Linked DNA regions of Caenorhabditis elegans. The protein of the gene in region 1 purifies or fractionates together with the protein of each later gene. This does not show direct contact. Each region holds a gene or a part of one and is shown in the gene's direction. Other genes may lie near its edges.

Region 1 (7,680 bases):
TACTGACGGTACTCCATCTTTGAGGTCATCAATTTTCAGACTGCGCCCACCACTTCCTCCACCACTTACCATTTTCTGTCTCATTTGCTCGGCTTGTTGTCGCTTCTCCAACTCATTCTCCGGTTTCTTCTCAGACTTTGATCATCCTGATTTCGAAGCGAGAGACAAGTGCAGAACCACGTGGAAATTTGGATCAATCTACCGTAACCCATCTGTTCCATTCAAGAGAAACGAGTTTGTGAACTCATTCTGGAGAAAGCTTTCGATGGAACAATGGAAAAATACACAGCAGAAAGCGAAGATATCAGCAAACAAATCAGAACTTCAGGAACTTCATAATATTCATGTAAGATTTATTTTTTTAAACACAAGTTTAAAACTGAAAATAATTTCAGAACCACATTCGAATGATGACTTTGCGAGATTCATATGAAAATTCGGGTACACGAAAAGCTTCAGAACTTCAATTTTTCGAGAAATACCCAGAAAGTAACATTCTGAAGATTAGTGTGAACATGGTGTCTAAGCCATGGACAGTGCTTGTACCTAGATACAATCCCCCCTTCTATTGTAAGCCTGCGGAAGATTTTCCATCAGATGTGCAAAAGTATGTTGATATTGCCACGGAGCAAAATGTTGGAGAACTAAAACGAATTTGGAGAAGCCGTCAGGCAAATGATGTTACTAGTAGTAATGATAAATGTTGGAAGCTCTCAGCTGCCGGCTTCCCATTGAATCCGAATGGTCGAACTGGAATGGCTGGAAGAGGAAATCATCCGAGATTTGGTGCTAATCGACGTTGTTATTATGTCGTTTTGAGTGGTGGAGTTGAAGCGAAATGTCAAGTTCTAGTTGATAGTCAGAAGAATATTCCAAATGAATGGCATCTGGAGAACTCGTCGAAAGATGAACATCTGACATCTATTTTGAAGATGATTGGAATTTCAGATTCTGACGCTCATGTAAGTAACCAAAAAGATTACTTTTAAAAATTTGTGATGTATTTTCAGATGTTTTCAATGCGACGTTTGGATAGCTCAATTATCACTGCGGACAAAAGAATACCATCCAATGACACGAGTCCTGCTCATTTGGCTTCAGAAGTTGCAGAAAATGAAAACGATACAGACAACGCGTGGACGGAGCATGATGTTTGGGCTATTTCTCTCCGAGAACGACGTATAATAACCACAATTATCGGTTATTCGTGGCTTCCTACGAGTGCAATTCGTGGAACAGTGCTTCCATGGCAAGCAGATCTTGTTTTCCGAGCAAAGACAATATACGGGTTATAATGCTACAACTTTCATAAATTATGAATTCACTTAAATTGTTATTCGATGTTTGTTTTTTAAAGCTGATAGCTAAGAGATAATTTAATAAAGCTTGGAAGAATAAAAATAAAGCACTCACCAAAACACATATAATGAGAGGCCTAACAAAAAATGTAGGGGTACTGTAGCAGTTTTGAAACAAATTTTTCTAAATATTGTAGAGCGATTGTTGGTTAGGTTTGCGGAGTGTTGTGCAGTAAAACTGTAAGAACTGTCGCGAATGCGGAGAACCAAGAATACTTCTCCTTGTCGCCACTTTATTACTTAATATTATTTCCTTTAATTTAACACAATTATTATGTATATTCATTAATTAATTATCGTCATCTTCCTTGTTTTTCCCGTTATTTTTGGTCCGTTTAGGTGTGACACGGAGATAAAAGATACCTTAGCAAAATAAGTTCTTTTCGTGAAAAAACAAATCTTCGTATTTATTAAACAACTTTGTTTCTGTTAACAAATAAATAAATCCTTGCTTTCGATTTTACGATTTTGTGGCTACGGTACACAATGTTCACTCCGCAAGCACCGAAACTGACGACAGTTTTTCTATCAGTTATTTTTTTCATTCAACCTCGAACTTTTTTCGCGTTTATTCATTTCTCGCGTGAACTTTTTGTCTTATTTTATTTTTAAGCTTGGCTTCACGTGGCACCGCGCTTTTAACACATCCGTGCGGCGTTTTGAATTGAACTTTAAATTGGAAATTCCCAAAAACCCACGATTTTTATGGATTTCGAATGGAAAATGCGGCGATACAGGGTAAGATTTCCCAAAATTGTAATTTTAAATCTTAAGGCCATTAAGAAAACAAGTAAAAACCGAATTTATTTTACCATTTGGAAGAATAAAAAACAAAATTCATATCATTTTCCCATTCACTTTCACCTGTTCGTATCACTTCCAACAAAGGAAAACTGAACTATTCTTGTTTTCAATTTTCCCATTTTCCCATATTCCCCACAGCAGCCCTTTCCGTGCATTTTTGCGTCGCCGTGTTGGCACTAAAGTGACACGGTTGACCTCAATTTGCCCCTTCTTTTCTTTTCTTCCCTTGTCTTCTGCCTCTCTATATTTACCCAACAGACTTTAACATCTCGACACTTAACTTGTATATTCGCCTAATTTATTACAGATCGATTCTATGAAGTATGAACAACGAATGAATGCCGGAGGTATGATAAAATTCGATTTATCAACAATTTTTATCAATCACTATTCATTTTCAGCTTCTGGTTTCGATATGAGTGACTGGAATAATCCTTACAATGCTTCACCTCCGTCTTCTAGAGGAGGCGATGATGACGCTTCATCCGTTAACCATTCAAGGTCAGTGAATACAAGAATTTCACACGCCGATCGATATCTTTTCATCGCTTTTTTTTCAGGCCTCGACGCAGTCGGCTGGACAACGATATTCCACAACCAAGAAGACCCATTCTTATTCAACCAGCTCGCCCAGTATCTCAAAAGAGTAACCGGCAGGGTACTGGAATGAGTAATGGTTCAAGAGGCCTCAACTCAACTTTCAATGGATATGACCGTACTTATTCAAGGTTTAAAACAAGGGAGTTTCTTCTTCTAATTATGGAAATTTGCAGATATCACCAAAACTCTTCACGTGGCCCAAGCGAAGGTTTCTCTGGTGCTCCTTCAGCTCGAAATGCATCTGGATATGCGAGTGATTACGCGAATAGTCGTGCTGGTGTGGGATTGCTGCCGAACAACCACCGTGAGCCTGTGAGACCACGATCAACTGCTGCTGAAAGATATGCGAACGCATCTTCAATGAGAAATGGTTTTGTATATGATAGTGGAGAGTCTGATAAGACTTCAGAAGAGCTGGAAGAAGACGAAGAAGAGGAAGAAGTACGAAATTTTTATATGGAAGGACGAGCACAAGGCTCCAGGAGTGTAACAAATACCCTTGCCTCTGAAGTTTATAATAGCGAAAGTGAAAGCTATTACTACGGAGTTGTGAAACTTGGCTCTGCTATTGTTGATCATGTGTTCCGAACGATGCCTCCTCCGGAAAAATACTATAAGATGCCGCCAATCGACCGTGTCGCTTATGTATTCTACTGTGCCGTTAATAACAAACCTTACAACAATATTGATGAGTTTCACGTAATTTTTAATCGTGAATTCTACTCCTACCGCGGGTATGGTGATTCTAAAGATCTGGCACTTTTTAAGGTAAGATTACTGACAAAATTGAATTGCTTCATATTTTAAATTACAGGTTTGCAAGCGGATGCAAGAAGAATTCTCCCTGAAGCAACTGGAAGCCGACAGATTGGCGTACGAAAAAGCACGACAAGAAGCTGCAGAGAGCGAGAAACTGGATTTCAATCAGTGAGTATGGAACCAACGGTACAATGAGCAAAAATATTATTATAGGCATAAAATCGAGGAACGCGAAGAGCCAAAACTTAACATCTCGCAACCCGAAGAAGTGTTGAGCAACGGACCACTTCATTATCACTCCTGCCTTCAGTTTGCTACCATTGGTGTTGGAGGAAAATTGGTGATCATTAAACCAGCGGGAACCATCGATAGTATCACTGGACATGTTCTAAGTACATCCAGCGTTCATGTGGATGATCTGAAAACATTTCTTCATTTCGATGAACAATCTGGAAAAGTGATCGAATCAGTTCAGAACTTTAAAGGACCACTGATTGCTGGACAAACTCCAACTCATTCCGTTCGTCTCTACATCCAACGACAAATCGACGCTCTTCGCCAGATCAGAAATGCTGGTGACGTAAAGAAAAGTGAGGTGGTGGATGCTCTTCTCGTCTGGCAATTGCTCGAAATCATGGTTCAGCAACATGGAGTAAGAATTGTTTTAATTTGAGAACTTAGTAGGAATTTAACATTTTAAGAGAGTCACCGGACCCGATGTAGCAACACTGCTGACAAATGCCTCGGAAGAACTTGGTGAAAAAACTGGAATTTCAAGCAATGGGACATCCGAGTCTGGTTCGAAGTTCGAAGCAAAGGAGCGGTTCAATAAGTATCTTCTTGGTGGTCACATTAATGTAATTTTGTCTAATCTTGTTAATTAAATAATTATAATTTTTCAGGAAGCTGTTGAAAGTGCTATAACCGATGGACTCTATGCCGACGCAATGACATTGATCCGTAGACTGCATCCAAATGACGCTAAGAAAATTGAGGAAATCGAGGCACGATTTATGAATCTTCGTTCCATTGACGATCCATTCGCAACACTGGTTGCAGTTTCAAGTGATCAACCACCTCCGATTCTGACGAATTCGGCGTTCGATGATGACAACAATTGGAAACGACATGCGGCCATTGTTCTTGCGAATCTAAACTCGCAGACCGCTATGCAAACGGTACGGCAGGAGAAAAGCAAAACTAAAACTGTAAAATTTTTTTCAGATCTATCATCTCGGCTTGCTCCTAGCAAAAAGAGAACGAAACTGTGCTGCTGATTTCTGTCTCCTTGTTGTATGCATTCTGGCTGGTTATGATCCATTTATTCCAGTGGCTCACGACGGAGATGAAACTTCGAGAAAGCACATCGGCCTTGTGCATAGTGGATCTAACTTGTTGAATCGAGTTGATGGACTATCAGGAACCGCTGGGTAAGATTACTTAACACAATATGCATAACATAAAACATGCTTTTCAGATTCTCATTCACTGATCTTCATGCTACTGATATTTTTGATTATGCTCTCCGACTGGGAAATAACAATGTCGATTCACCACTAGCAAAATCGATTGATTATCAGTTAGCTCGTATTGAATACGCAAAGAAGCTGTCGTCTTTTGGTGGATTTGCTACGGATGCGTTCAGATATTGTACAGAAGTAGCAAGATCGTTGTGGATGTATGTCGCAGCTTTCGATAAAAATGCAATGTTTGATCTTTGCGATCTGGCTGAGAGTCTTCAATACATGGCTGCCGCAACTCCTGATGAAAGTGGTTGGATTACAACTATGAGAGGAATGCTAGGTGCAGCTCCAGTTCAAGAATCTCAACAACATGTTCCACAGCCACAACCAGTGGAAAACAAATCTATTTCGTCTGAAGCTAAAAAATGGCATGATGAGCATCAAGCGCCGCTGGAGATTGGATCACGTAACGATCAACAACATAACGATAAAACTGTCGAGAAACCAATTGCACCCGGACGTGCTTCTTTGCCTCCACCTACCCTGGTTACTGAATCGTCATCTGAATCGACATTTACAGATAAATCCGATTCTTCGGTTACTGTCGCTGCGTCAGCATCAAGAACTTCAACGTTGACCTCATCCACTTTACCACCACCACCATCCCTTCCAAAAACTATCGAAAAACCAATCTCAACACCACCACCAATTTCTAAAAATGTTGTTCCTGAGATGACGCCTCCAGCGATTGTGAAGCCACCGATGCCAACGTTATCGATGCCTATTCCACCTGTCAGTACTCCAATCATGGTATCACCTCAACCTATTCCTATTCCGAAACCTGTTGACGCCAGCATTGCAAAAAGTCCTCGTTCGGAACTGGATGATTTATGGGACACTTCACCGCCAAGCAATCAAACTTCATATCCACCTGCACCGCGAAATATTCAACCATCTTATTCGCCTGCACCTAACTTTGCAAACCCAACAGCTCCAAGTGTACCAACACCACCACCAGCCGTTTCTTCTGCTCCGGTTCTTCAACAAGCAACACTAGGACAAGCATCTATTCCAAATGCTAAAACTGTGAGTTTTCTGTGAAACCTTCAGAATGACAAGTAATTATTTTTAATTATTAAAGACTGCGCCGCCTGTCCCACAGAAACAACCTGAACTTGCATTGAATGAACGAAAAGCATCTAAAGGATGGTTCGGATCGATTAAGGAAAAAGTCATCAAATCGATTCCATCAGCAAACCAAATGATCCTGCCTGACGATTCAAAGCCAAGTGTATGTTAATTTGAAAGCCGATTTTTTGAATATCAAATATTCATTTGTTCAGATCGTTTGGGATCCTGTTCAGAAAAGATATGTTGGTGCTGGAGTAGAAGAAGAGGTCGTAGCTGCTCCACCGCCAGTCATGTCAGCTCCTCATTTGATGGGTGGAGGTCCTGATTCTAACAAATCGAGCACGAATAGTCTGCGAAGTGCTAGAAGTGGAGTTGGATCACGATATCTTCAATCGGGAATGGCCACTAGCCAAGCACCAGCTATGGACACTGGAATGCCACCGATGATGCCTCCAACCATGCCAATGTCATTCAGCTTTATGCCTGCACCCACTGAAGGTATAATTAATTGAGAATTAGTTTTTTCTTCAATTAATTTCATTTTCAGATGATTCCTCCGAATATGTTGATCCATTCAGCGGTGAACCAACGGCTCCTTCCGAATCATTATCCAAACAGAATAACGATTAATATGCTTCAATTCTTCCAAATTATATGTGTTGTCGTCCCCATCGCCTTTTGTATCCCCCTCCCACCCACTATCATTCTTTCAAATAACCATTTCCTGTTATCTGGTCAGGCCCGTTTCCTCTAAAAACTTCTGTGATTATTCCATAGTATCTTCCTTCTTTTTTGTTGTGCAACTATATATGTTACGGTTTTATCTGAAAAATAAGTAGGCTAGTTTTTCTTTGTTCTGACGAGAAAATATGTGCTCTGAATTGATTCTCTGGTAAATAAATATATACTGAAATGAATAAATATAATGTACCGTGAAATCACTATTTGAATTTTACATTTGAAATCGAATTAAAAACAAAACAAAAAACTAATCGAATACCATTATTTCGCAAATTCGAAAATGTATCAACTGGACGTGAGTTTTCTCTTAATATTTCTGATTGATGTTCGAATATTTAAAGTCTTGGTACTCAGTGCTCTTCGAGCTTCTTCTCGTCGGTTTTTCTCTCTACAACTCGCTCAGAATGACTACTTGGTGGGATACCGTAGCCAGTAGGTCACAATTATTTTCAGGCAGTTTCCAGAAAAAAGATTTTCAGAAGGAGCATCTATCGCAGTGAATGGAGCAGCGAAACATTCACCTTCGGTCGCTGATCACTACGGTATTCGTACTGATAAAAATAGTGTTAGAAGCTATAGAAAGAGTAGCGTCGTGAGTTTTATTGAGACTAATTGAATAAATGTGTATATTTCCAAAATTTCAGAGATCACCAATTACGTTCGAAATGGGAGATGGGATTGAAGTAGCTCACTGATGGATCGTAATTTATTGGAAAAATGACGTTCAGAATAAATTTGATATTGATTAATTTTTGTCCACATTCTAGTAGGCCAGGCAGGCGAGGCGTGCGAGGACGCCTCAGGCAAGCACAAAGAAGAAGAAT
Region 2 (8,024 bases), on another chromosome or scaffold:
AATTGAATCCGGCTGCTCGTTCGACGGTTGACGTTCGTAATCTCCAGCAATCTCACCGGAAGCTTCTCCGTATCCTTCTTCACCATCTTCGTAGACTTGTGGTGCAGTAGTTGTGTCCTGTTTCACTTCGTCGCAAGATTCACGACAATCTTGGGTTCTTTCGTTAAAGACCAAGCTATCAGGACATTTCGCCATGTAGGCTCCGCCGGCGACGCAGCTGATAAACTGGTTAGAGCAGCCAATGGAGTAGATGCCATCCTGTTTCGATGTGCAGTCGAATTCCGCATATGGGGTGTCATCTTCTTCAGTGTTTTCATCTACTCGACATTCTGGAGATTCGTCGACTGGCACACATTCGTCTTCGTAGAAGACAGAATCATCGCTGCAGGTGGCTGCTTGCCTGACTCCGTTCACACATATCGAGTACTGAAAATAAAGAATTATATTTGAAACGGAGGGCTACTGGTTTACCTCCCGACTGCATGCATTTCCTGCTATGTTTCCGTTGAAGTATGCAGGGCATTCTGTGGCTGCTGGTGAGTGCGGGTATTGAATAGAATTCGAAACTGGAAAATAAAAATATTTGATTGAAAAGAAAGAGGCAGAAACTCACAAAATGTTAGTAGAAGCAGCGAGACGGTGGCTAGCTGTGGCCCCATCGCCTGAAATTGATAACAGTTAGAGGATGAATATTTTAACTTAAAAGTTTTACGAAATAAAAACAGAAAAGGTTCAAAATGGTCGCCATTTCAGGAGAAACTAATAAAAATTAGAGCTAATGAAGAAGGAATGAAATGGAACATTCGAGGTTGAAAACTCAATCCAAAAAATTTCCCGCTCGAGCCTAAAACTGGGGTCAAATAATTTTTGATCTACTGCACTTTTACATGTCTGAAATGGGTATTGGCATACATTTGCTCAATTTTATTCTTTAAAAATTAATTTTAGATCATAAAATTAATGAAAACAAACAAAATATTATGAGAAAATTCAAGATATTTTCAAAATTAAGAAAAACTAAAGAATTGTGCGGCCCAAAAATAACAGAGTACGGTATTAGTTAGCAATCGTGGCGAGACCCAACTAACAACATACATGATCCTTTAATACCAACCGTTTCCATTTTCCAAAATATGTTTTTTTGGTTGATTTAATTTTAATTGCATCCAATTTTTTGTTAATTTTCTGAAACAAAAAAATTAACTTCTAAAAATTCATAGTCGGTTTAAATAATTATAACTTTAAATAGAAAGTTTGGACATTAGCGGCTTACTTGACTACGGTATGCAAAAGTACGCAAAGACACTTCACGTCGTTTTGCAGATCCACGGAAAATCAATTTTTTTTTTGATTTTTAAAATCATCGTTTCGTTTTCCTTCGGGAATAGCGAAATTAAGGTTTTTAATGAACTTTTTTCCTCGCTTCTTTCAATAGCTATTAGTAGAATTTGTGTATTCTCTGTTTTCTCTGTCCGCGCGACATAACTTGAAAAAACATTGTCTGATTTCTTAAACATATAACAATTAGTGTTTTATTTTCTTTTTGATATTTTTCTTAAACATTTTTAAATAAGAAGCTTCTATTTTTTCGAAAATTGGTGCGATGAGTTCACTTTTTGATATTGAAATATTTTGAATTACTCCTCCCAAATTGGGAGTCCCAATTTTTATATGCGGAACATTCTAAGGAACATTCATTCTGCCATTTTTCTTTTCCGTTCGATATCGGTGTTTCTAGCTGTCTGAATTACATCAAGACTACTCTTTTAAAAACTTTCACTTCCTCCTATTTGTTCGAGTGCAAAGGAGCGCACTTACTCCCTGTTCAGCTGCTCTCATTCATCCACGTCAACGTTACAGCTAAAGTTACAACAATTGCTCATTAAACGGAACACGATCGATGAGCTCGAAGCTCTACTCACGTTCCGGCGTATTTGTCTGGAGTCCACGTGGAATTCAGAAAAAGGTAATTAATCAATCTTCGTCTATAATTGAAATAAATCAAATTTTCAGGGCTTAATTGTTGCTGATTTCGCTCAGTTTTTTGACCCGACTGCAACATCAATCGAACCAAAGATCGATTTTTTGCCAGCAAGTGAGATATATGAAAAATCGAATTTGGCCCCGAATGTGTCGCATGCCACTAATTATCGGTGAGAATTATAATGTGAAGCGGTATAGTGTATTTCATAATTTTAGATTCAATGAATTAGCCTGGACTTCTCTGTGTTCCGATGCACATCCGAACGGAATAATTGCTGGCGGTACAGAGGACGGAACTGTGGTATTTTTTGATGCTGATAAATTTATCAAGAATCAATCACTAGAAGTTCTTCTTTCTCGAAGAGATCATCATGGGCATGTTCTCACTATTGATGTTTCCAGGGACGGCAGGTATGAAATGAAAGTTTACAAGAACAATTCAAAAAAATAATTTTTAAGATGGATGGCTTCTGGTGGAGGCTCAGGACAAATTCTTCTCTGGGATTGCGCAAATCTGAAAACACCATTCTCTCCCGGTTCGCCAAATTTCCCAGATCAAGTGAAACTTCTTCGCTGGAACTTGAAGAACGAGTCTGTGTTTGCTTCCATATCGTCCAGAAGAGTCAGTTTTTGGGATTTGAGAAGAAATGGATCGCCGGTGTTAGAATTCGCAGAGGTTGGATTTTCAATTGCCTGGTGGCTATTAAAGTTCTATTTGCAGATTCCTGGCTGTGATTGGTCTTCGCTCTCTTGGAATCCTTCGGACGCCTCACAACTTATAGTTTCCAGCCAATCTCAACACGCCTCTGTTATTCAGAAATGGGATTCGAGATTCACTTCAACACCAGTTAAAGAATACAGACATCATAATATGGGAATTACGAGTGTTGACTGGTAAGTTTTTATTTAAAAGTTTGTTGATTATATAATAAAAATTGAGCTAGACAATTTATTTTTGTACAAAAAACTATATAAAAATTACGAAAAATATTAATACAGGAACAAAGCTGATGATCGTCTTGTAATTTCATCTGGCTGTGATGGACAAGTGGTTATATGGAATCACGAAACATCTGAGGTGCTTGGAGGTGTTGGAAGTCTTCAAGGAGACTGGATCCGAAATGTTAAATGGAATGAAGAGGAGCCATCACAATTTGCTATTCAATATTTCCAACATCCTGTTCAAATATCCTCATTGACTAGTCTTGGATCTCCGCAACCAGGAGCCGATGTACTTGCCGCTAGGATCTCCGATCAATTTGTTCCTGCATGGCACCGTGCTCCCTTAATTGGCTCATCAATAGCATTAGGTGGACGGTTGGCAACATTCTGGAAGTCCTACGATGCAATGACCCAACAATGGCACCATAATGTGGAAATTGAAACGGTATTGAAATTTTATAACAAATCTCGTTTTTGACTAGCGGGCCCTATGGGGCCCGCTAGTAGAGGTTGGGTTGGGGCGAGTCCGCTAGCTGGCGCGGGTTCTCGGCTTCGCCTCGAACGTGCGATTGGCAATGTTTTGGGTCTCGCACCGCAGGCCTACGGCCTGCGTGGCTTCCTGAACCAGTATAGCAGGCCTTCGGCCTGCTATAATAGAACAAAAATATGTAAGTAATCAAATATACTGTAGGGATAGTCAAAAAGGTTGCCACAGGCAAGAATTATTCAAAACAATTGCAATTGTATGTACATGTACACGTGGACAGCCAAAGACGACATGTTTGAGGGGTTTATGGTGGGGTGACGATGTGTCGAGTAGAAGAATATCTCCACTATATGACTGATAATTCAAATATGTTGATTTTTGGGAAGAGTTGGGTACCCAGGTGAGTTGAATAATACAACTACCACTGGCGGATGAGGGGAAGGAGGGGGCCGGGCAAAGACTTTTCAAACTTCGACGCGTCGTAACTTTGTTCATAGTAGGAATTGAAAAATTAAAAGTATATACTTGAACTCAGCGTTAAAAGGAGAATATGATAGCATTTGAAATTTTAGAAATTGGTGAAGAATGAACTTTTGAGCTTCCTAAGCATGGCCTGAAGCCTACAACTTCAGGAACGGGGCTCGAGGAACTCATGACCAAAAAATTTTAGTTTGTCTCGCTTCTCATAGCAAAAATAATAAGAATTAGGACATAAAATTCATTATCCAACAGAAAACTGGTCCAGGAAAAGAGGAAAATTGAAATTTCGAGGTCAAAAATTAAATAAACTAAATTCGTTGAAAATGATCGTAGAGGACTGTGCTTTCAGCTTGCATTCGGTATTTATGTACTAATTACGAATTTAACATAAAATCCCATTCGGTAGTGGAAAATTTTTTATTTTTCCAGCAAAAACGTCATTTTTTTGAGAAAATGCAGAAATTTGCGATTTCTGAAGTTATTTTTGACTTTTTTGTAAAAAAAATTATATTTTTGAAGAGTAAATTTCCTGAAAAATACGTTTTTCGAAAAATTTACCCCAAAAAGTGCCAAACTGACCGACTTACAGCCGAAAGAATCTCAAAAATCACTAATTTGCACACCAAGGGGTTGCGCACAATTTCATTGAAAAATCGTCAATTTATGCTTTTTTCGTAACTTTCCGGTTGGATAATGAGAAAACTATTTAGAAAAACGGAATCTACGTTAAAATTTACATTTGATAATGTAAAATAAAACAAAAATACGAACGTTAAACATGTTTTCAACGCAATTTTCGAAATTCCGGGATTTTTCGAGTCCGATTTTCAAATCATCATAACTCAGTTCAAAATTGATGAAATTGCAAAAACTAAAAATTTTTATCAATCCCAGATATACAGTTACCTTATCAAAAACATTTTATACTATGACCTCTAAACGTGTGCAAAAAAAGCGACACTACACGCGAAAAAAGTGATTTTTTCGTGTTTCATCAAGAATTTCTCTTAAAAGATGAAATCAAATCAAATAACCATTTAGATAATAAGATAGAAAAAGCGATTCTCTATTTCCTACAAAAAAGAAAATTAAAAAATGTGCAGGTACAGCAAAGTTACAGACGAAAGTGCACACCCAACTTTTTAAATTTTTTGTTACACTTTTTGCGCAAAAAGTGACGACCCTTGCACTTTCCGGATTTAATATAGGAAGAAGGCAGAAGTTTTTCTATTTTCAGATAGTTCCAGAAAACGATGTTGGTGTCAACGACATTGCTCAGTATCTACATATTAAGGATGATAAACGAAACTTAGGATGGTATCTTCATGAGAGGTAATTATATTTTCAGATTAAAATTATCAAAATTAAAAACTTCAGAGCATATGCCCCATCAAGCGATACTTCAGAAGAAGCAGATCTTACACGAAAAGTTTGGCTTATTCTTCTCGCGCTACAGGAAGGAGCTGGACGCACAAAGATGCTAAATTATTTAGGACTTGTAGAATCACAGGATGAGGAGTTTTCCGAGAAGAACGCAGCATCAGCAGTCTCAAATCCAAATATTCAACCTACGGCAATACCTGATAGATCTGCTCGTTCAACTTCTGTTGTTTCCGGCGCAGACACTGACATTGATATTCCGGAAGTAACAGTCATTGAAAGATGTTCTAGTGTTAATTGGTCGACTTTGGATAACTCAGGATGGGATCTTCTTCTTCATACAATTCGACAAGATCATCTTGAAGTCATTCGTGTTCTAATCTCCTCAAATCAACACGTAGCCGCAATGATGTACGCTGCTCAACACGAAACAGATCATTTGGCAATGATTCTTGATGATTATAATAAAAGTAATCGTTTTCGAGCTGTATATTGTAATTATAATTTGAAATTTCAGAATTCAACAACTCGAGTCCTCTATCTTCTATAATTCTTGCACTTTCATCGTCCTCGTCGGCTAACAAAACAGAAATCACTCCTTCAAAGCAATCATCTGAACAAGAGGTTTCTCAGCAAATTGGAAGTATTCTCCAAACTTTCCCCGATCAAAAGTGGTCAGAGCTTCTTGGCTTCATAATTGCTCACGAATCAAATGCGACAGATATCAGATTAGCAGCAAAATGCATTGGAAAGCGATGGTTGGAACAAGGAAGTTAGCGAATTTTAAAATAATACATCATAGATTCAATTTGTTTCCAGAACCTCTCCGTGCTTGTATTGCTTTTTTGATTGCCGGAGACATTGATCATCTCTTACTTGCCAATACATCCTTCACACTAGTGGATCGACTGAAACAGGCTTTAATACTTCATCAAGTATCGAAAGGTGCCAAGTATTCGGATGGATTAGAGAAGGTAGAAAAATCAAGATTATCTCCAAACTCGTAAACGATAATTTTTAGCTAATCATGAACTTCGCCAATGAACTTCTCATTCAAGGCGCAGGTTCCGTCGCATGGAATTTGGTTAAGTGGTCTCAAAATGGTTCTGCTGAAATGCAAGAGCTTCAATGGACTTGCTATAATGTTGCCGGAGGTCGAGATTGTACAGGGGATCAACCACCATTTAATCCGTTTGATGTCGCTCTACCTAGAGCTCAACAGCCACCCATTGTTCAACCGACACGGACATATCAACAACCGGCACCTATTCCCCCACCGGTATTTGTTAGTTTACTTTAAATTTATATATTTATCCAAAATTTAGAATCTCGTAAATGGTTTTAACCCGTATAATCCATCTCATTCTCAATGTCCACCACCTCCTATGGATTACTCGAATAATCGAAGAAATTCCAATTTGACACCAATGCCACCATCTTCCACTTTTTATCAGACACCATCATGGGATCATAAACCAGTGAGTTTTTATAATATCCGGAACAGAATCATAGTTTCTTTTCATTTCAGCCACCAACAATGCCAGCGAACATGCCACCATCTAAACCAGTTGCTCCAGTTACTCCCGGTTGGAATGATCCTCCTCCAATGGCTTTGAAGCCTACCACTGTTGCCCAGCCAAAGCAAAATGTGATGGAAATCAATTGGAAACCTATAGAAACTGCCCAAGCTCCTGGTGGAATGATGACTGGGCAGCAGTTGAACGGATTTGCAGGAGGGTATCAAAATGTGATGACTAATGGAATTCAAGGTAATACTCTAAATTCTTCAATTTGTGCATATATCTATATTTTCAGGAATGAGTATTCACAATCAACAATCATCTGCAGCGTCTTCAGCTTTTCCATCTCCAAACTCTTATCAACAGAGACCGGCTTCTGCAGCATCCGTTGTAGCTCCAGCTCCAATCCAATTATCACCGGAAGATGAGAAAATTATTGAACCCATTAATACATTGGCTCAGTGTATCATTGAAAATGCCAGAATTCAGGCTAGAATGGAAAAAGCTCAGGATTTGAGAACTCGTATTCAGGCAGAGCTCTCACCGCGTCTTGCTGCGAATAGGGTACGGTTTCATTAATTTTCAAAATAATTTGAAATCTAAATATTCAGTTGTCTCCCGAATCGAAGCAGCATCTAACTCATATGGCTTACTTTGTTTCCATGCGGCAGATTCGTGAAGCTCAAGCAGTTGTGGCACAAATGGCACGGAATTCAGGAGATTTTGTTGAGGTGAATTTTGTATTATGATTTATTTAACAAAAATGGAAAGCCAATTCGTATTGTTTTATATGTAAAGCACAGTGAATTGTTCTCCAAAAAGAAATAATCTCTTCATTATCTTATTTGTTCAACTCGTCTTTTTTGCAGATTTCGTCGTTCCTTCCGGCTCTAAAGTCGCTTCTTTCGCTCGCCTCTCATTAATCTTCTCCGCGTCATAATGAGAGTGTTGCCTTCATTGTTATGTGATTTTGATTATCAATTATCAAAAATGCCAACATTTTGAATATATTATATTTCATTTGCTTCGTGTGTAAAATCGTGTAAACTGTTTTGTCCCAAATAATTATTGCGTGTAATACGACTTTCCAATACCCCCAAAAATTCCTGCCAATACTTAAAATTAGATATTGCTTTATAGTCCCAAATTTTCTTACTGCTTTGTAATCATTCTTTGTTGTAGTCATAATATTTATTTATTCGATTTTAAAGTACTTTATAAATAAACGAGTT
Region 3 (4,776 bases), on another chromosome or scaffold:
AATCTACGAATTTTTAATGGTTTTTGTCAATTTTTTGCAGAATATTCTCATTTTCTGTCTTGTTTTTCACTTAAAACCAAAAGAAAAATCAAAAAATTCGAAAAAATCGAAGAAAAACGAGTGAAAATCGATAATCGTGATTTTGGGCGCTGCTTAGACTACAAACTACACGTTTTGGGCGCTGCTAATTCAATTTTGGGCGCTGCTTAGACTACAAACTACACGTTTTGGGCGCTGCTAACACTACAAACTACACGTTTTAGGCGCTGCTAATTCAATTTTGGGCGCTGCTAAGACTACAAACTACAAGATTTGGGCGCTGCTAATTCAATTTTGGGCGCTGCTAAGACTACAAACTACAAGATTTGGGCGCTGCTAATTCAATTTTGGGCGCTGCTAAGACTACAAACTACAAGTTTTGGGCGCTGCTAAACTACAAACTACACGTTTTGGGCGCTGCTAAACTCATTTTCTTGGTATTTTCTCCGATTTTCTTCATTTTTTCGCTGCTTACATTGAGATTCAGCTGATATTTCTCAATATACGGCCTTGTAACAGTCTCATAAAGCTCTGGAGTCTCTCGAATCACGAATTTCTCCTCCTGACGGTATTTTGCAATGAGACGATCGTTTATCGGGTAGATTAGTTGAGATTTTAGCACTGAAAATTGAATTAAAAATTAATTTAAGCAAGATTGTGTGGATTACAATTCAATTTGGGATCGATTTCTATATTATAGGACCCGAAAATGTCATTTCTGGAGATTTCTTGAAGCTGTGCAGTCGCCAGAAGCTTCTCGATATCGGATTTTTCTTCGGAAAACGGAGACTTGTTGGCAAGCAGAATGCCTTGAGATCCATCGGGATGGGAGAGCAAAACGAAGAGAGACTGGAAGAAAATATTGATTTTTATGATTTTTAGGTGAAATTTATTGTTTCTTAATGCAAAAAATTCACTTTTTATTGATTTTCTCACCTTATGCGACGAATCAGCGCCTAAAATCTCTTGAAACTTGGCATCCTGCAGCCATTTCTGTGTACTCTCCTCTGCACGCTCCTCTCGCACAAGTTCCTCGTCGGCGATCCGTTTCATACTGAAAAATCGAGATTTTCACTTATTATTCACCAAAAAGATACAGAAATTGCAACGAAAAACGGTAGAAATCGAGAAAACCAACTCAAAAAACATTTTCAAAAGTGTCACGCATCGTAAAACAACACACTGGCCGCGGCCTAGAAAACTCCAATTCTTTTCTCGGCCATCTTCCTCCACGTGTACATTTTCTGTTGGAATTTTGCAGATTTTCACTCGTTTTTCACCATTTTTTCTGATTTTTCTTGCTAAAATATTGAAAATAAGTCGATTTTTATTGATTTTAGTGTAAAAATCATAGTTTTCACCTTGCATATGTCGAAAAAATGACGAAAATTGATTGGGCAACCATAAAAACCCAAAAAACTCGATTTTTCGCTATTAAACGTGATTTTCAGTGTTTTATATTAATAAAATTAAAATTTAATGGTGAAAAACCAGAATTTCACACGTAATCCACGTATTCTCCTCGTTTTTCATCATTTTCCGCGATAAAAAGTTCATTACCAGTTTATTCCAGTAAAAATGGCCACTTGGGAAGAATATTTGGGTGCTCAACAGGCGAACGATGGCGTCCAATTCACGTGGAACATGTGGCCACACAGTCGAGTGGATTCTCAGAAGCTTGTCGTCCCGCTCACCTGCTTTTTCACGCCGCTGAAGGTAAAACTGAGGCGCGGAAACTGGATTTTCTTCGAATTTTTCGTGGAATTATTGAATTTTAAGCATTGAAAATTGGATTTTGTAGCTGCCGAGCAGCGCCAAAAGCTGAGGAAAAGCCTATTTTCAGCAATTTTTCTTCAAATCCATCGAAATTCCATCAATTTTCTCCGAATCTTTGCAAATTTTAGTGGATTGCTTCATTTTTTGCCAGAAATTCGTTATAATCTTCTAAAAATTCAAATTTGGTAGCTGCTCGAGCCGATCGGCAGCTTCGAAACACCGAAGGCATGAATTTCAGCAATTTTTCGATTAAAAACGCGATTTTTTTCTCAATTTCCATCGGAATTTCTGCATTTTTACCTTAAAAAGTCGGTAATCTCTGCAAAAATCGTAAAATTCCGCTGAGAAACGCAAAAAAAAAATTCAATTTTGGGCGCTGCTTAGACTACAAACTACAAGTTTTGGGCGCTGCTAATCCAATTTTGAACGCTGCTAAAACTACAAACTACAAGTTTTGGGCGCTGCTAATTCAATTTTGGGCGCTGCTAAACTACAAACTACACGTTTTGGGCGCTGCTAATCCAATTTTGGGCGCTGCTGAAACTACAAACTACAAGCTTTAGGCGCTGCTAAACTACAAACTACAAGCTTTAGGCGCTGCTAATCCAATTTTGCGGAGTTCAAGCCGATTTTAAGCTGAAATTTCACGATTTCTCATCAAATTTCTCTCAAAAACCAAATTTTTTTTCCAGGAGCGCCCATCAACAGAAGTCGCCCAACCACCACTGGAATATGATCCGGTTTTGTGCCAAAAAGCCAGCTGTAAAGCGATTTTAAACCCACTTTGGTGAGTTTCAGGCCTTTTTTTGCCCGATTTTCACCCCGAAAAATGATGCTTTCAGCGCCGTCGATTATCGCGCCAAAATCTGGATGTGCCCATTCTGCAACAATCGGAATCCGTTCCCGGCTCATTATGCGGCAATTGCCGAGGATAACCGCCCGCCGGAGCTCTATCCACAATTTACAACCATTGAGTACACGCTTCGAGTGAGAAAATGCTGAAAAATCCGAGTTTTAAGCCAAATCTTTATTCCAGAAAGCCACCACAATGCCGCCGATCTTCGTTTTCGTCGTCGACACGTGTATGACTGCAGAGGAGCTGAAATCGCTGAAAGAATGCCTTCAAGTACGGGACAAATTGCAGAAAATTGAGAAAAAAACGGCGGTTTTTTAAAATTTTCGCGGAAAATTGCTCGAAAATTCGTCGGTTTTCCAACTCAAAATTTGTGATTTTTTCACTCAAAAATGGGAATTTCTGCTGAAAAATGGGAATTTCTGCTCATTTTCGCTTGAAAATTCGACTTTTTTAAACATAATAGTGTTATTTTTCATGAAAATTGGCAATTTTTGCCGTAAAATTCAGATTTTTGGGCAAAATTTCCCAATTTTTCCAATTTCAGACTGCTCTCTCGCTGCTCCCAGCCGATGCTCTCGTCGGATTGATCACCTACGGTAGAATGGTCCAGCTGCATGAGCTCAACACTCAGGGAATCTCGAGAAGCTACGTTTTCAAGGTAATAAATTGCAGGGAAAATTGGATTTTTTGGGTTAGAAGCCTGAAAAATGCCGAAAAATGCCAAAAAAAAAACACTAAGTAAATGCAAAATGAATAGCGAAAAATTAGAGAATTATTGAAAATTCTCGGATTTCAGTGAACAATTCGAACAAAACAAGACTATACACTTTTTAATTCAATTTTCCATCCAAAATCTTATAATTCTATTCATTGGTTACTAGTATAGTAATTCAATTAAATAATGCGCTCAATATGCTCAATTGACCAGTTTTCTCGAAAAAGTAGGATTCTTCATTAAAAATAGATGTTAAATTAAATGTTATACTATATATATAGTTGTTCTGAAACGTTAAAGCTCTAAAATGCGGAATAGTTAAAGGTGGTGTCGTCGATTTTTTTCAAATTGCTTTATTTAGACTCAAAATTGTCTGAAAACACCGAATTTCATAATAAAACTTCTTGAAAACTTTTCAAAAAAAGGTTATGACGGCTCAAAAAATGGCCTAAAATTAGTTAAAATCGGAAATTTGACTAACTTATCAATGTCGCAGCGGCTGGAAATTTTTTTTTTTGAAATCATCGTTAAATTTTGAGTTTACAAGTTGATTATCTTGCGTTTTAAACTTGATTAAGCTATTTAAAAATCGATGGACGGCGAGTTTATCGATAAAAAAAATTAAAAATCTCGCCGTACATCGATTTTTAAATACCTTAATCAAGTTTAAAACGCAAGATAATCAACTTGTAAACTCAAAATTTGACGGTGATTTCAAAAAAAAAGTGTTTCCAGCCGCTTGACAAGTCGGTCAAATTTCAAATTTTAACTAATTTTAGGCCATTTTTTGAGCCGCCATAACTTTTTTTTGTCAAGTTTTCAAGAAGTTTCATTATGAAATTCGGTGTTTTCAGACAATTTTGAGTCTAATAAGGCAATAAAAAAAATTCGACTACACCACCTTTACCTATTCCGCAGAGCTGTAACGTTTCAGAACAACTATATATATAGTATAACATTCAATTTAACATTTATTTTTTATGAAGAATCCTACTTTTTCGAGAAAACTGGGTCAATTGAGCATAAGTAGCGCATTATTTAATTGAATTACCATACTACTAACCAATGAATAGAATTATAAGATTTTGGATGGAAAATTGAATTAAAAAGTGTATAGCCTTGTTTTGTTCGAATTTTTCACTGAAATCTGTGAATTTTCAATAATTTTCGACTACACCACCTTTAAGTTAATAGGTTAATTAACGACTATACACCGACTATACACTTTTTTATTCAAACTTCATAAGACATATTGAACATGTTATTATTATTATTATTATTATTATTATTATTATTATTCAGTTGTATTATATCATTAATATTATTTAATTAGATGAATAATAATAATACAATTAACAATACAAATAATAATCATCATCATCAGTAGTAG

What was found. Proteins that work in one complex are often made in the same cells at the same time.
Region 2: the proteins of sec-16A.1 (region 1) and sec-31 purify together in Caenorhabditis elegans (affinity purification with mass spectrometry, with the first as the bait; one study listed by BioGRID). This does not show direct contact.
Region 3: the proteins of sec-16A.1 (region 1) and sec-23 purify together in Caenorhabditis elegans (affinity purification with mass spectrometry, with the first as the bait; one study listed by BioGRID). This does not show direct contact.

Annotation. Positions count from the first base shown.
Region 1 is NC_003281.10:9,123,758-9,131,437, forward strand, and holds sec-16A.1 (Protein transport protein sec-16A.1), read left to right. Parts: upstream 1-2,081; coding exon 2,082-2,096; intron 2,097-2,469; coding exon 2,470-2,509; intron 2,510-2,563; coding exon 2,564-2,663; intron 2,664-2,722; coding exon 2,723-2,890; intron 2,891-2,935; coding exon 2,936-3,530; intron 3,531-3,576; coding exon 3,577-3,689; intron 3,690-3,734; coding exon 3,735-4,173; intron 4,174-4,222; coding exon 4,223-4,378; intron 4,379-4,423; coding exon 4,424-4,699; intron 4,700-4,745; coding exon 4,746-4,951; intron 4,952-4,998; coding exon 4,999-6,070; intron 6,071-6,125; coding exon 6,126-6,275; intron 6,276-6,327; coding exon 6,328-6,613; intron 6,614-6,662; coding exon 6,663-6,745; 3' UTR 6,746-7,050; downstream 7,051-7,680. Other genes in the region: Protein ced-11, read left to right, coding at 40-346, 396-962, 1,011-1,295; ZK512.10 (DUF4752 family protein), read left to right, coding at 7,137-7,151, 7,198-7,288, 7,336-7,448, 7,501-7,551. UniProt on the Caenorhabditis elegans protein: Plays a role in the organization of the endoplasmic reticulum exit sites (ERES), also known as transitional endoplasmic reticulum (tER).
Region 2 is NC_003282.8:11,365,629-11,373,652, reverse strand, and holds the start of sec-31 (WD_REPEATS_REGION domain-containing protein), read left to right. Parts: upstream 1-1,860; 5' UTR 1,861-1,900; coding exon 1,901-1,966; intron 1,967-2,013; coding exon 2,014-2,153; intron 2,154-2,199; coding exon 2,200-2,394; intron 2,395-2,442; coding exon 2,443-2,659; intron 2,660-2,704; coding exon 2,705-2,877; intron 2,878-2,982; coding exon 2,983-3,370; intron 3,371-5,129; coding exon 5,130-5,224; intron 5,225-5,269; coding exon 5,270-5,742; intron 5,743-5,789; coding exon 5,790-6,044; intron 6,045-6,091; coding exon 6,092-6,246; intron 6,247-6,293; coding exon 6,294-6,551; intron 6,552-6,597; coding exon 6,598-6,750; intron 6,751-6,800; coding exon 6,801-7,041; intron 7,042-7,087; coding exon 7,088-7,356; intron 7,357-7,403; coding exon 7,404-7,523; intron 7,524-7,661; coding exon 7,662-7,715; 3' UTR 7,716-8,024. Other genes in the region: Chitin-binding domain protein cbd-1, read right to left, coding at 1-426, 472-566, 614-659.
Region 3 is NC_003283.11:20,089,651-20,094,426, forward strand, and holds the start of sec-23 (Protein transport protein SEC23), read left to right. Parts: upstream 1-1,612; 5' UTR 1,613-1,617; coding exon 1,618-1,755; intron 1,756-2,507; coding exon 2,508-2,602; intron 2,603-2,657; coding exon 2,658-2,802; intron 2,803-2,851; coding exon 2,852-2,941; intron 2,942-3,215; coding exon 3,216-3,329; intron 3,330-4,602; exon of another isoform or gene 4,603-4,776. Other genes in the region: dcs-1 (m7GpppX diphosphatase), read right to left, coding at 515-660, 708-888, 976-1,092.